Linked DNA regions of Mus musculus. The protein of the gene in region 3 purifies or fractionates together with the protein of the main gene of each other region. This does not show direct contact. Links are inferred from orthologs where the notes say so. Each region holds a gene or a part of one and is shown on either strand. Other genes may lie near its edges. The genes, in order: Nck2, Pak2, Arhgef7 and Git2.

Evidence for each region.
Region 1: the proteins of Arhgef7 (region 3) and Nck2 purify together in Homo sapiens (affinity purification with mass spectrometry; 3 studies listed by BioGRID and IntAct, counting the BioPlex papers as one, with this or other methods). This does not show direct contact. The link is inferred for Mus musculus from reciprocal best matches to the Homo sapiens genes ARHGEF7 and NCK2.
Region 2: the proteins of Arhgef7 (region 3) and Pak2 purify together in Homo sapiens (co-immunoprecipitation; 5 studies listed by BioGRID and IntAct, with this or other methods). This does not show direct contact. The link is inferred for Mus musculus from reciprocal best matches to the Homo sapiens genes ARHGEF7 and PAK2.
Region 4: the proteins of Arhgef7 (region 3) and Git2 purify together in Homo sapiens (affinity purification with mass spectrometry; 6 studies listed by BioGRID and IntAct, counting the BioPlex papers as one, with this or other methods). This does not show direct contact. The link is inferred for Mus musculus from reciprocal best matches to the Homo sapiens genes ARHGEF7 and GIT2.

The regions. Positions count from the first base shown.
Region 1 is NC_000067.6:43,567,704-43,571,034, reverse strand, and holds the end of Nck2 (cytoplasmic protein NCK2), read right to left. Parts: intron 1,888-3,331; coding exon 1,693-1,887; 3' UTR 517-1,692; downstream 1-516. UniProt on the Homo sapiens protein: Adapter protein which associates with tyrosine-phosphorylated growth factor receptors or their cellular substrates. Maintains low levels of EIF2S1 phosphorylation by promoting its dephosphorylation by PP1.
Region 2 is NC_000082.6:32,076,480-32,080,629, forward strand, and holds the start of Pak2 (serine/threonine-protein kinase PAK 2), read right to left. Parts: upstream 2,864-4,150; 5' UTR 2,609-2,863; intron 2,573-2,608; exon of another isoform or gene 2,354-2,572; intron 1-2,353. UniProt on the Homo sapiens protein: Serine/threonine protein kinase that plays a role in a variety of different signaling pathways including cytoskeleton regulation, cell motility, cell cycle progression, apoptosis or proliferation.
Region 3 is NC_000074.6:11,726,726-11,731,080, reverse strand, and holds the start of Arhgef7 (rho guanine nucleotide exchange factor 7), read right to left. Parts: upstream 2,830-4,355; coding exon 2,665-2,829; intron 1-2,664. UniProt on the Homo sapiens protein: Acts as a RAC1 guanine nucleotide exchange factor (GEF) and can induce membrane ruffling. Functions in cell migration, attachment and cell spreading. Promotes targeting of RAC1 to focal adhesions. May function as a positive regulator of apoptosis.
Region 4 is NC_000071.6:114,763,461-114,767,023, forward strand, and holds part of Git2 (ARF GTPase-activating protein GIT2), read right to left. Parts: intron 3,098-3,563; coding exon 2,992-3,097; intron 1,214-2,991; coding exon 1,127-1,213; intron 1,018-1,126; coding exon 887-1,017; intron 1-886. UniProt on the Homo sapiens protein: GTPase-activating protein for ADP ribosylation factor family members, including ARF1.

The DNA.
Region 1 (3,331 bases), on a different chromosome or scaffold from region 3:
TCAGCAAGCAAAGGGCTTGCTTTGTAAGCCCGATGACCAGGGTTTGATCCCTAGATCCCACATAAAAGTGGAGAACCAACTTCCGTGACTTCCACAAACAACAAGCCCCTGCCTCATACATACTACAAGACAAAAAGGTGTAGAGAAATCAGTGTGCTAAGGTCCTCTGAGAGCTCTCATTTGTGTGCCAGTGATGTGTGAATGTGCACACGTTCACATGCATCCAGAGGCCAAGTGTCTTTCACTCTTACTATCGTTCTTTTGAGCCCAGTGCACATGGACTGATTCGAATGCCTCAGCAGCAGGCCTGGGGATGTGTTCAGTGCTAGGATTAGACACGACCAATGCCCAATTTTCTGTGGGTGCCAAGTATCCGAACTCGGGTTCTCATGCTGGGTTAACAGCAGGCACAGGATCCAGCACGTCATCTTCCTTTGGAGGGGAATTTCCCATGACTCCTATAGCTGTTCCTTCCCCAGAAGAGAGTCAGCTCTCCCAAAACACAAACACACAGCCTTGTCATAATACTTTTTTTTATTACAATATTCAAAAAACCGGGTATGCAAGTTTAGGGGATCCCAAGACCCCTTCTTCAATTGTAGGAATGTGCCATCTCAAGACTCTATAGTCAAACTATAAAGAAGTTCAAATGTAAAGAAAAATGAAAATGCAATTTCTTCATAAACATTCTGTTACTACTAATCACATATTCTTTTGTAAACCCTGAAAAATTTCCCTGTAAAGCAAATAATATATATATAATATACACATATTATATATATATATATAGTGTATGTATAAAGTATTGGTAGCTCCCCTTCCCAAGAGATCAGCTGTTTTCCTTAATCATGTTATTAGTGTCAACAACCAGCTACAGATACATATTACTTTGAGAATTAAATACATAATTGTGAAATTCAAACAAGCCCAAGGGCAAAAGCACGATGTGGATGGCACACCTGGGGGACATCACCAGAGTACCTTTCTTTCTGTGTTGCCACCTTCCTCTTTTGCAGACCAACTCTTACCAAAACCCTCTTTTATTGCAAGTACAGCCTCAAAGGCACTGGGCAGTTTTCTCACCACCATCTCCCCAGGGTTTCCAGTATTGCTATCCGCACAGTTTTGGACTCCTGCAGTGCCTGGAGCCAAAATAAAATAAAATTAAAAAATAAAATTGAAAAAAAAAAAAAAGAAAAAGAAAGAAAGAAAGCAAAGCAAAGCAGGCCCAGGACACAGGCTGCCGGTCTGGACCAGCATGCTGACGAGAGGCACCAAACACCCATGGACACAGCTCTCGGAGTGTGTGCCAAGGTCACATATTCACTACATACAGCCTCGCGACCCTCTGAAGCAGCTCCAGTCTTTTAGTCAGTCTCTCTCTCTGCACCCCCCTTCCCTCTCTGTGTATGTGTGTGTAAGGATTCAAACAGGCTGTTTCCAGCTGGAAAGGAAAGAAGTGAGTAGCTTTGCTCCCTCTGACCCTCATCACCAGAAGGTGGTGGCCTGGGGCATGGTTGTGAGGGCCTAGGTAGCCGTGGTTGACCAACAGGGCTGAAAAGAAGGACAGACTGGGCCACAGAGGTGATCCAAGCCACATGGGTGGAGGTGGCCAGAAGTGCTGGGCTCTGGGAGGCAGAGGTGGCAGCGAGGCCCACAGTGGGCAGGGCATGAGGGGGCCAATGGCTGCTTTCACTGTAGGGCTCGGACAAGGTAGAGCTTCTCCCCGTGCTCGCTGGTGAAGATGGGGGCCTTCTTGTAGTGCTCCACAAGCTCGTCCATGCTGTGGAACCGCCGCTGCCCAATGCAGTAGACGCTGTCCACCAGCTGCACCTTGAAGTGCTTGTTTCTCCCTGACGCTTTGAGAGACACGGAGAAGTCACTGGGCTGAGGAGGAAGCAGAAGGGAGTTACCAGCAGGGTAGGCACCTGAGGAGACCAGGGTCTGCCTAACAAGCACAGTGTTCACCCAGTGTCTGCAGACTGACTGGCAGCCCAGCGCTCTCAGGCTCACAATCAAGCGCTAATGAAATTCTGCTTCCATGGATTCGGGGGTAAACGCACAGCACGCTGGGTCTCTGACACGGAGGATCTCGTTACAGAGAGAATGACAGCTGGGTTAACCTCAAGACAGAAGAAACCTGAGATTTCCATTTCCCCAAATTACTTCTGACAAACTGGGAATTATTCAAAGTGGTTTTCATGCAGGCAGAAAACTGGAAGTGTTTCTTCTGATTTCTATTAAAATTTACGCTCTTTAACAATAGATACTGTCAAGGTAGTGGACAACATGGGTGTATCTGAAAGAGTTTGTGATGTCCCACAGATGGCTCCGCAGTGGTTCAAAGAACAAATTTCCGTGAGAAAAGGTTAAATTCTGTGATGAGATCAGTGCCTTACTTATTGAGTATATTTTGGGGTATTCTAGTGTTTTAAATAAAACTGGTCATCTAGCTAATTTCCTGAAAGCCAACAGGAAGGCTATTGAATAGAGGCATCAATTGATTTGATGTTTACTAAATGCTGACTATGTGCCAGGCAACCTATGCCCTACACATATGCTTAAGCCACCCACTTTAAATAACATCCAGTAAGGAAGGTGGGTATGGAGGTTACGCCATGATTGTGAGTAGACACAACTTAGGTGTGTGCTTTGTGTGTATGAAAGAATATGTGCATTTGTGAAAGTTGTATGTAAGAGTGAATGGGAGCGTGAATCATTTGTATGTTTGTGTATGCGTGAGTGTACATATGCTGTACGTATATGTTTGAGCACTTGTGGTGGAGTTAGGAAAGACCTCTACAGTCAAAGGAGCTGAGGCTGAGCTATGGGTGGCAGTGGCTTGCTTGCACCGCATATGGCACCTATGGTGGGGAAAGGAGGACTTACCATTCTGTGGCACTAAAAAGGCAGTGTGGCTCCATAGGAAGGGAAGAGACTCATACCCCAACCCTTCTCACTCCCATTCATGGTGTCCCTGAATTGTGCTTTGTCCCCTGGTTGGCCATTCTCTACAGGCTATTCTCAAAAGTCTAGTTGCCTGGGCAGGGTCGGGATGCCCCTCCGGCCTCCCCTGCAGCAGTTAAGTCCACACCCATGACAGGCCCTTCTAAGTCTGCTCCTGCTTGCTCCTATCCCTGGGAACTTGCTGCTAATCGGGAACCAGTAGCTGGCCCTCTCTCCCAGCAGGGCCTCCATGTGAAATTAACAAAACCCAGCGGGTTGTTTGATAGAGTGGGCAAGTTCTATAGACAAAGAGCCCATGTTTGCCCTTGGCCATTTCAAGATAGGAGCCTGGAGCAGTTCAAACCTAGTAGGCAGCAGGGTCACC
Region 2 (4,150 bases), on a different chromosome or scaffold from region 3:
GAGAACTCAGAAGCACAGTCTGCAAGTAGCAACTCCCCTCTAATCAGACAACCATCAGTTACTTCTGTAACTAGCAGTGCTTGAGGAGAGAAAGGCCTGACCTAGTCTCAAGACTGGAACACAGTCCAATTTGAACCAAAGCCAGAAAACTGAAAGCACCGAGTACGGAACATTATTACTGTAATAACCAATACTGATGAAGATAGTAAGGATTCAGCCATAGCTACTAGTTTTATACTTGGCAATTATTTCAAGCTCCTGCATTTTGTAAAAGTATAACTCAGAGTTTATCTTTAGCTAACCAGAACAAGTTTTAAATTTCCTCATTTAAAACACGTAAAACTAGCCTTCATCATGTCTAGTTGGAAACTTGCCTATCATAAAAATCAAAGAAACACGAGAACCTTTTATCAGACATATATCAACTAAAAACTATCACTTCATGAATTTAGGTTTCAGGACACGGATCACAAAGCCCAGAAGAATTAATCTCTTTCTCTCAAAAGGTAAATCTGGAATCAAGGCCCCAAGATAAGTGAAATACCCAAGAATTCTCTTTTTAAAAACATGTCTGCTTGCCCAACACAATGGTAATCTCACTGGCTAGGATTCTGACGCAGATCTTAAGTCCAGAAGTTTGAAACAAACCTGGGTATCATAGAAAGAGGCTGTCTCCAAAGAAAAACAAACAAATACCTGCTTTTGGAAACAAATGAGATATTCTGCAGGCACAGGCTTGCAATCCCAGCTACTAGGGAGGTTGAGAAGAAAACCCCAGTTCAAGGCTTACCTGGTAGGGAAGAGATTCAATACCAGCCTGGGAAACAGTGAGACTGTCTGCACAGAGAAGAGAGGGCTGGGCTTGTAACTCAGTGCTGCAAAGAACACTTGCCTAGCATCACAGGGAGGTCTGCGGTTCAATCCGGTACAAGGGGTTAAAAAGGAGAAAGAAACAGCAGAAACTAACTTCAAGGTACTTTTTCATTCCCTGACATTCCTCCCTAGTGTCAAGACAACTCACTAACCTAAGAACAACCCACAGTACCAAAGGATGGCAGTACTTGATACTAATCCATTTCCCCCATAGCCTGGCAGAGGGAAAGGTAATAATGTACTAGTGAAAACAAGAAGAAAACATTTTTAATTTTGGGCAACCTCTTTTACCAAAACCCAAAAGTTACATTTTCTATCTATCTAAGCAACAATATAAAATTCAGTTTCCCTGATGTAAATGTACAATAGTGTTCCTGGCTAATTAATCTCTAGAAAGACCTAAAAAGAGAGGCTACCAAATATGTTGGCTAACACGTGTAATCCCAGCACACAAGGCTGAGACAGGAAGAGTGTCACAACAGCCTGAGCTGGAATGAGGCCCTGTCTAGGAAAGGCAGAGGATGGGTATAAAAGTATACGAAAAAGGCTTCCTTCACACACACACACACACACCCCAACTGAAGAACTGGGGTAGAGACAAGCAAGAATGTTCTACAAATGCCACAGAGCTTCTGGCAAAGTTGACGTGCCCTAACCTGTTTTAAAAATTACTACTCACTGCCTTCATCCCAACCTAATTTTATTCATACTATTCTTTTGGATAGCTCTACCAAAAAAAAAAAAAAAAAAATCCCCAGAGCAAATTCTTGTGTATTTATTTCAATATCCTGCCTACTTTATAAGAGCGGAAGAGTCGAATACAGCAGGGGAAAAACGTGACGTGCACAACCTTCACCCAAAACACAGCTCAGCTCGTCGTTGTCTAATTTTGGGCCTAACCGGTTTGGTTGTCTTTTTTTAAAAGGTTAGAAACGAAAAGCTGGAAAATCTACAGGTCACTTGTAAAGAAGAACCTGGCGGCTATCGATGGGAGTTGGTGATTTGTCAAAGAGGAAACAAATCTCACTTCCACTCTACCTAGTTCTATTAAGACAGGGGATGGAGAGAGCCTCCTTCCCATCAAGCCACAATGGCAATTATTTAACACACTTCTGTCTTGGACGACTTGATCTAGAACTAATCAAAAGGCTGAGTCCATTAAGTTATTTGCAGCAACTTTTTTTTTTTCTTGTGAGGGCGCGCGTGTTTCAGACAGCCAAACATGGTGAAAAGCCAACCTCAGCCCAAGTTAACCTTAAGAAGCAAATATTCACCTCCTGGCTAAAGATCAAGCAAAAACCGTAAGATCCTTAACTTCTGTTCTTAAACGCAGGCTCCCAGAGCCCGGCAAAAACTTTTTCCTAATGTGGAGGAGGAGGAAGAGTTTACACACTGAACTTAAGGAGCTCGCGACAGGATTCCCGAGCGACGAGACTGCAGAGAACGCAGCTGGTAAAGGAGGGAACATCCAGGAACAAACCCGAGTCGTCCGGTGCAGCGCCGGCGGGAGAGAAGGGCAAGGACGGCCGGAGTGGCCAGGGTCCCCACAGCCCAGCAAGCTTCCTCTCGGCCGAAGCTTAGAGCCAGGGCGCAGACAATGAGCCACCGCCCGGAGCCGCGGGCCCGCCCGCAGGTGCTGGCGTCCCGGGCCGCTGGGCCCAGGCCGCGGAGGCGGGAGGAGGGCGGCGGCTCGGCCCGGCCCGGCCCGGCCCGGGCGAGCGGCAACCGCACTTACCAGAGAGGAAAGGTCTCCGCCCGACCCAGGGCGGGCTGCTTGGCCGACGCGGGCGAGCACTGCGCTGGGGCGCTGAGAGGGAGGAGGGCAGGGCGGAGGGGAGCGGCGCGGGGCGCGGCCGTCGCTACCGAGGCCGTGAGGCGCAGAACCCCTTGGGCCAGGGAGGGGAGGGCAGGAGCCTTCGGCAATGGCGACGGCCCGGGCCGGAGGGGAAGCGGAACAACCGCTGCCGCTGCGCGTGGCCACAACCCTGGGGGAGGGCGGCGGCGGGGGCGCGGGGCGGGGCCGTAAGACAGCCCCGCCCTGAAAGTGGCGTCATGACCCGAGGGGCGGGCTTTCACAGGGCGGCTGGGAACCGTAGTCTAGTCATCTGTTAGGGAGACTCAGGACAGTGGGCGTTACAGAGAAAACCTGTCCCTCATTTATCAGCATTCTGCATTGTCTGCAGTTACGGTTTACCTACTGACAAAGCTGACGGAGAACAGCTGATCCAAACATATTTGTGTGTAGAGGGTCTTTGTTTCTGAGAATGTATCCATTCACCAATTGGTGTTTTGTGGGGAGGGATGGCTTTTCGAGTCCTGGCTGTCCTGGAACTCACTCTGTAGTCCAGGCTGACTTTGAACTAGAGATCCTCCTGCTTCTGCCTCCTGAAGAGGTACTGCCCAGCTCACTTTGTTTTTTGGTTTGGTTTGGTTTGGTTTGGTTTTTTGGAGGCAGGGTTTCTCTGTATAGCCCTGGCTGTCCTGGAACTCACTTTGAAGACCAGGCTGGCCTCGATTAAAGGAATGCGACGCCACCGCTTTTTTTTTTCCTACAAATTTAACCAGATTAAGTTGAATCAGATTATGCTGCTAAATTAGGTCCTCCCTCTTTGCAAAACAAAGATTTTTTTATTTTTCTGTATTTTATCAATGGAGGAGTTAATTCATGTATTCTTATTCCACAACTATGTCAATATCTAATATCTACAAAAGACCATTTAGGTACCAGAAATGAACATGCTTCACCTAGTCTTTGTAAAGGTTAAAAACATGAAAACGGTGGTGGCGCACGCCTTTAATCCCAGAACTCGGGAGGCAGAGGCAGGCAGATTTCTGAGTTCGAGGCCAGACTGGTCTACAGAGTGAGTTCCAGGAAAGCCAGGGCTATACAGAGAAACCCTGTCTCAGAAAAAAAACAACCAAAAAAACGTATGAAAACATAAAAACCAAAACACTGATACCTGTTACAAGGTGGGGAAAAAGCTGAGGGATTACCGTGGACAGAGTGGACAGAGAAGGTGGCAGTTAAAACAGAAAAAGGAACTCGGAAGAACTGAGGGGAAAGGATTACAAGTAGGAAGAGGATTGCCACGGTCAGTGAGAGATGAAGGCTAGGCTCACAACCAAAACCACAAGACTTATGTAGCTGCACCTTGGTGTAAGATGGGTATATTAGAAAGTACTGTAGTAGTTGGGCGAGGTGGCATACTCCTTTAATCCTAGCACTTGGGAGGCAGAGGCAGGCGAATTTCTGAGTTCGAGGCCAGCCTGGTCTACA
Region 3 (4,355 bases):
AGGGAAATTAAGCAACTTTGTACACTGCGTCCACGAGTAAAATTAAAACAGCATTTTAGCACAGATTATGCTTGGTGGTTTTCTATCCTCTAAAATTCCTGCATCTAGGGTGTGCCTCCTTTGGACAAAATAACCTAGAAGTGTCTGAAGCAGGAGTTTACTAAGGATGGTGCTGCCAAGGCTCAGGGACCCGATGGCTAAGACAGGTTTGGGATCAGAAAAGGGAGGGAACAGGATGGGACCAGCTCAGGCCTGACTCTTCAGAGAACAATCAAAGGGCAAAAGTTTGATCCCCAGAGCTGGGGAAACTTGCCAATCCCAGCCTCCCTCTTTCCTGCAACCAAGAGCCGTGGCAGGCAGCAGGCAGCAGTTAGCAGAACCCCTTACCACCAGTCTGTAGCTCACTCCTCTCGCCTCCAAAGAGAAGTAAACACAGAGGCTTCAGGAAAGGGACCCTAACCCACCATTTTCTTTGCCTGAGCTGGAGCTCAAGGAATGTCCCGTCCCCGCTAGCCAACCCAGTTGTGAAACACAACAGGACGTGCTCTTAATAAAAGACACATGGGAAGCCTTCCTTCGGCACTCATTCCCAGGCCTGGACTCCATTTTAAACTCATGAACTTGAGAAAGGGAAGTCCTACGCTGCTCACAACCCTCCAGTGTCAGCATGCCCACGTAGCAATGGGTCCAGCTAAGACCCTTCACGTGCCGCACATAAGTTCAGCTCTGTTTCCAGGCATTTCCTTTTTAAGGAGAGAGGGTCTCCCTCTGGCATTCCAGCACGGAAGCAAAAGCTGCCCCACACATGTGCTTCAAGACAAATGTGATTCCATGCAGGCATTCATTGCCAAGTGCGGATGACTTCATGGCAGATGCAAACTCGTGGAATCCAGAATTTCAGACAGTGGCTGATGGTTTACTCCCCACAAATACCCCTCACTCAAGAGCCAGGGACTATCTGTACAGGGTCATCAGCCTTCAAAAAGAGAGTTAAAACAACACCGACCCAAGAGATTTCCACTCGACTGTAGTTTCAGAATGTTTGAGACCAATCTAGCTGCCAGAGGCTAGCCCTTTTTATTCATCTCTCTCTGTGTTGTGTCAGAGATGAAAGAGGCGCTGCAACTTCCTCACGGGATCTTTCTAGAATTTAAAATAGAATATGAATTTTTGAAGTTTGCCTGACCACATCAACGCTGCAAACATGTCACGTGACGTGTTCATGGATGGGAACATGTCCATTGACATAGCACAGGAATCTTTTTACAGCTTTGCCTCAGAAACAGAACAGGGTTATCTTTAAGAACCTTAGCATGTGTCTCACTCAGACGTCTGTCTTTTATTATCACCAATGGCCAGGGGACAGCCGGGTTTTCTCAGTGTCTGGCAAGTCACACCCTGCTCTCTTCAGTCGTTGCATCTTAAAATTGTAACTTTATTGATCTGCCCCACTTATAAACAGTGTTTCCCACATCAGTTAGTCCTTCTAAGATGCATGTCGTTTTCAATACAATGTTCAAGAAAACACCTAAAACCTGTGGTACGCATGTGGAACTCATGGTAAATGTTTTCTGACACTGCAGCATGCCAATTTATGAATACAATTAGAATTTCTGCTTTTTCAGGTCACTTAATATGCATTAACAGAGTGTCCTGCCTAGGGCCTGTCTGTGTGTATGTGCATGTGTGTGTGTGTGTGTGTGTGTGTGTGTGTGTACTCCATTAAGAAGTGTTACTTCTTCCTAATTATGGGACACTTCCATTTCTGTACTTAACACCTTTTAAATTACTAAGGATCTTAAGTTTTCTTGTAAACTGTGTATTGGCATAATCTTGAACACAGGACTTTATTATTTTTTGACCTATAAAACATGGTTGTTCTTAGAAGTGCTCCCAACCCCTGACCCGGCCCGCTCTGTGAGCTTACAAACGAAAACAAACTTTGGTCACCCAGAGCGGTGGTCAAGGTTCACACTGCAGAGCCAGGGAGCCAGCAGCCAGCAGCAGCAGGCAGACAGCTCCAAATCTAGCAGGCAGTGAGGATAAAAATTCTGACCCATCCCCAAAGAAATCGGGCTTCAGCACCCTGTGTGCGCTGTTCTGCAGGCTTGGCTGAGTGAAGAATCCCTTGATGGGGAAGGCAGTAAGTCATTTCACAGCTCGGCCCTCCCTTGGCTTTTGATGCATCCTTTAAACATGCCCAGCCACCGGTCCATTCAACGCAAGAGTCAGACTGCAAAGGCAGCGACGAAACCGTTCAAACAAAGCCATCGCAGAAAGCTGCGCGGCACAGAGACGAGGTTTTCCGATCGGTGTCGGCGAGGGGCGAAGCCGACCTCCCAACTTCACGTTAGGGTGGAGCAGAACCCCACCGCCGCCGGCACAGCCAACTCTCCTTCTCGTGACCCCGAGCCGGCCCCGAGCGTCACCGCGGCCCCCTCCGCTGTCTGTGCTCTCAGGGCGGGTCCCCTTCCCGGCGCCCCGCACACAATGGCGCCCCGAACTCCCGCCGCCGGTCCCCGCGCCTTGCGCGCCGCCGGGTCCGCGCACAAAGGAGGGCGCGCGGGCCCCGAGCCGGCGCGCGCCAGGTGCTCCCGCGCGCCCCGCCGCCCGCCGCCCGCCCGGGCCGGGGACCCACCCGAAGACCGTGCCATGGCCACTTACTTTCTCGATGGTCCCGGGCAGCAGGCGCTCCAGCAGCCGGCATAGGACCACCCCGTCCTTGAGCGACGCCTGCAAGAAGACCTCAGGGTCCGAGATGGTTTTCTTGGGCGACTCCAGCACGCCCAGGGTGATGAGCCACGTAACGGTCTGCTCGGCAGAATTCATCGCTGCGGCGGCTCGGGCTGCGCGCACAGAGGGGGCGCCGCGCGCGATCACCTCGGAGCGGCCCGGGCCGCGGCCACCCGCGCCCCCGCCGCCTCCGCGCCCATGGGCGGCCGCGCGCCGGCGATTGGCCCGGCCGGCCCAGCAGGTCCCGCTCCGCTCCGCGGGCTCGCGCGCGCCCTGGCCCGCTGTCAAGTGCCTTTTCATTAGCGGCGCAGGAACCTGCGGGCGCCCGGCACCGCCCCCGCCGCCGCCCCCCGGCCGCGGCCGCCGTCGCCCGATGACATCACCGGAGAAGAAAGACGCGGCGGCCGCCCGCGCGCACCCCGCGCCAGCCCCGGCGCACGACAGCTGGCGCGCCCCCCGCTCACCTGCGCCGCCCGCGCGCCCCGGGGCTGCGCGCCTTTGTGGGTAGGGCGGCGCGCGATTAGTAAGCGCTTCCCAGAATGCTCTCTTGAGCTAGCCCGCCGACTGCGGGGCGCGGGCGTCTCTTCGCCACCTCGCCAGCCGGCGGGGATGGCACGCACATGCTCGTTAGATCTGTGACCAGATGGGTCTCACTCGGGCAGGAACGAGCGTCGGGAACGCGGGCGCGATGCTAAGCGGCTGGCTGCAAGGCCACTGGAGGCGGGGGGCGGGAGCGGAGATGGGGGGCGGCGGGCGCGGACGACCTTAGTAGCCAGAAGCCTTGCATGACTCCTTGTGAAATTGACGGTGACGTGTCCAGCGATCAAGAGCACATCGCAACCTCGGGTGGGTGTCCGCTGGAAAGCGTGCTGTCCACGCTTAGGCCCAGAACTTGGGCGTCCTCTTCCAGCGCAAAGGATGTGTGACAGGAGCCTTGGGGGAAGGGGGGAGTAGGTGAGGGCTCACCGTCAATCGACACATATTTCCACTTACTCCCGCCACTGGTCCTATGCTTTCCCTGCTGGCTGGCACTCCTCGACAGTTTAAAATAAAGCTTGCAGTGTCCCAGGAGACCTTTCCCCTGGGCCAGGCACGCACGTTCATCCAGTAACTGCTCAAGGCTAGAAGCCATGCGATGCTGTCAATTAAAAACAAAAAACAAAAACAAAACAAAAAAATGATCACAGGTTCGACTCTCTTCTCTGCATTCTCCAGGTGCTTCCATCACCACCATCGATTGCGTTTAATAGCATCTTCTGGCTAAATGACTACATTTCTGTTCCAGACACAAACAAAGCATTAAAATAGTGTGAAGTTTGTTGAGGGCCAGCTTCTCTGTGGTGGCAGCTGCCTTCAGAGCAGCGCTAGCCAGCCCTAACCAACCACTGCTGCAATTACGGTGTCTTTACCACCGACAGACCCAAGCCTCACTTTTTGTCCATTTTCCTGGTTACATATGAGAGGTACCCTGCCCTAGGAGCCCCACATCAGCCAGTTTCCCATCTTGCTTCCCTGTGGAGGTCCAGAGAGTGGCAATGCAAAACTGATCACCGACGCCCGAGTCTATCGACCAAAGCTGCTCAACCCGGAAGAAGCTTTCCCTAGTGCTGAATTGAAAAATT
Region 4 (3,563 bases), on a different chromosome or scaffold from region 3:
TTTCAAGAATTTATTAATCATCTCTTCCAGAGAAGTAAGTTCTAGGACTCTAGGACAGACTTTTGTCATTTCCCATTGCATTCTTTATGACAGAATGTGATCCTTCATAGTTAATAAAATAACAGGGAAAACAAGGAAAGCTATCCATCTTTCATCAGTTAAATCTGCAGGTTTTAACATTGATTAGGCCCCATGAAGTCCCCTCATGCAGCTCCAGATACTTAGGAGAACACAGTAACAGGCTTGTCCAAGATCTGCCTGTCTTAACCTTGCCCACAGACAGCAGGCAGGCCAGGGCTGCGGCCCTGTGCCGTTTCCAACCCAGTTCTGTTCTTCATGCTTATAGGGAAGCACACCACTCAGTGTGCCATTTCCCTAGCCTTCTTTAATTATTTAATTTTAAAAATTAAGATGTATTGACTTTTACGTATACAATGTTGTCTGCTCATAAGTGTACCGTGTGTGTGCCTGGTGCCCTTGGAGGTCAGAAGAGAGTGCTGGATCTCCTGAAATTGGAGGTACAGATGAGGCACCGTGGTTCTGGAAACTGAACCCTGAACCCCAGTTCTCTGCAGAGCAGATGGCAATCTGAACCACTGAGCCCACTCTCTAGCCACCCCCTCCCAGTTCCTGATCCCTGATCTGTATGCTATAACCTGAAAACCACTGTGCTATGATGACCGGGTGTTAACCACACCAGCTAGGACTCGGCAGTCCTTTCATCTTGTCTGTCTCAGCTGACACACATTTGAAACATCTTCATCAACAAAATAATAGAATGGAAGTCTTTAAAGGGGCTAAACACAAGCCATACCCAGAGTAGTCGCTTAGCAAGGAAAAAAAGAAACGTTCAGCACGCAGTGCAGTGAGAACCTCAGCCTCTCACCTTGCATAGTCAACAGGAGTCTTCCCACTAGAATCTTGTGTGCCTGGGTCAGCTCCATACACGGCCAGCAATTCAGCCTGTAAGATCTGTCCTGCTTTGGAGGCGACGTGGAGTGGAGTGCTTCCTTTTTCCTAAGAATTATTAATAAGAAGTAGACAAAAAGAACAAACTGAGCAGACCTGGACTATCCAAACATAACTCAGCTTCCGTTTAATATCTGAATAATTGACATTTTCGTACAGGATGAAAGAAGTTGGCTTGGGCTCCTAAAGACAACAGTCTCAGACAGGTCTCAAGATTCCCTGTTCTCACACTTGAATGGAGTTGCTGAAAAACAAACAGAAACAGAGTACTTGTCAGAAGTGTCAGGAGAGATGTGCCCGAGCTGCTGGCCGCGCACTCTAACACACTTTACACCAGTAACGGGTCTTGTTTGGCTCAGGAAGATGGCTGGGATGGGTGGGTGGGTGGGTTGGTGGGTTCTTTGCTGTTTACAATGGCTTCAGGCTGCAGGTGGGTCTGTCAGTTTAACAACAAGGAGCTTGGACTGCCAAGGCCAATCTGCCCAGACGCAGGACTTGCCAGTAAGAGGTACAACCATAAACCCAGCAAGAAGCACTTGACCAGGAGGTGGTGTGTGTGTGTGTGTGTGTGTGTGTGTGTGTGTGTGGTTGGATTTCAAGGTCTACCTCCCTCCAGCTGTGTGTTCTGAGAAAATCTCTGAGCAGAGGAACCTGGGTGCTACGGTGCCCTCTACCAGGAGGGTTATGGTGTGTACTGAAGGAGACAGGAAATAATTCAAAACTCAGCTGCTGCCACAGCATCTATCAGTCTTCAGCTGCTGCCACAGCGCGGATCCCAGCGGCTCCAGCCACCCGCGGCACACGCTGGCCACCTGCTCAAGTCTGTGCTGTTTGTCCACACAGCGATTCTGCCAGGCTGCGCTCAGTGGGAAGTGGGCCTGTGCACACTAAATCCGTATCATCACAGAAACGCTTTTAAACTCCCAAAGAACAAATGGCTCTCTCCTTCAGGGCTACTCTACAACTGTCCTGACTGGCTCACAGGGCAGATGAGTCCTACGGAACCAGTCTTTGTTTTTTTTTTTTAATTTTATTTTTAATTGTATGTATGCGTACATCAATGTACACTGAGTGCAGGTGCCAACAGAGGCCAGAAGGGGGTGTCAGGTCCCCGGAGCTGGCGTTAGATGTGCCGTGAGTCATCTCATGAGCCATCTGCAGGAACAGTGTGTGCTCAATCACTGATCCACCTCTCCAGCCCAAGTCATCGCTCTCTTCTTCTTTTTATTCTTCTTCTTATTTTTACACACACACCCTTTACACAAGGACTCACTGTAGCCCAGGCTGACCTGGAACTCACTATATAGACCAAGCTGGCCTTGAATTCACAGCTGTCTGCCTGTCTCTGCCTCCTGAATACCGGGGACTAAAAAAAGATGTGTGCCACCACACCTGGCCATGTTTTTTATTTGGTAAAAAAAGGAAACTATTTACTCACTAGGAAAATCACTTACATCTGTGCAGAATTAGTATTCTGAATTGTGCACACGCTGTCTTGAGTGAGCATCTAGTTCAAAGCACCGCTCAAAAAACTGTGATGTGCATTTTTACGGCATCTCGTAGAAACAGCCAAGGCCCACAAGAAGGCACCGCTCGCGGTGTAACAGACACGGCTGTGCTACAGCTCTAGGTGCACTTTGCCCTCCAGCCTTGAACCTGGACATCTGAAGCAGTCAGCCTCCTTCCTCTGCTCTATTTCAGATGCTAGGTTCTCTAGAAAACCTTCTTTGAAATGGCTATTATTCTCAAGTAAAGAACTTATCAAAATCTATGTGAAAACTGTACCGAAAAAGTACAAATTAATTAATCAATTAAATGAAAATGAAAATAAAAGGGGAAAAAAATACAGTTTCTTAGAAGCGTGTTTTCCTTTTGTCCAGTGTGTCTGAGAGGAGTGAATGCTGTGTAAGGGAGAAAGGTCAGTTAGTCAAAGGCACTTGCAAAAGGCTGCTTCTTCCTCCTGACATGGCTTTAAGGGAAGCGGCCCATCTCACGGCCCCACAGAAGGCAGAGCGCGCCCACCTTACTGAGATCTTTGGCCGTCACGCTGTCGTCCTCGCGGCAGGGCAATCGGTGGACGAACGCTAACATCTGATACTTGGCTCTGATGAATTCTGCTTTATTGGGGCTGGTTTGGAAACAAATAAGAACACAGTTCACTTAACAGCTCTGACACATTTCTCATTCTTTGTGCTGTAAGAAGAGGAAGTGACACCCCCCCCCCCCCACTGGACAGTAAGAAGGGCAAAGCTGGACTCCACTGCAGCAGAGTCAAAGGCCTGAGCTGATAAGAGAACGCCTGAACTTCCCAGCGCCTCTCTTCCCTTTACCTTTCTCAACTGGGCACCCTGAGGAAGCAGCATCTAACCCTGTGTCACAGGCCCGGCACTGCCAGAACGCTGCGGCCAGCAGACAGAGCGCTCGGTTTCATCTACCTCATCACCCGGAGTCAAGCTCCAAGCCCTGGACTCCAACTGGAGAAATCACTAACTTCAATTGGGTGAGCATCCAAAGTTATGGTCCCCCTGCCTCCCTCCCCCTGCCTTCCTCACAGCAAATGCCCAGGCATAGCCCACAGCCCCTTTGGAGGCTGA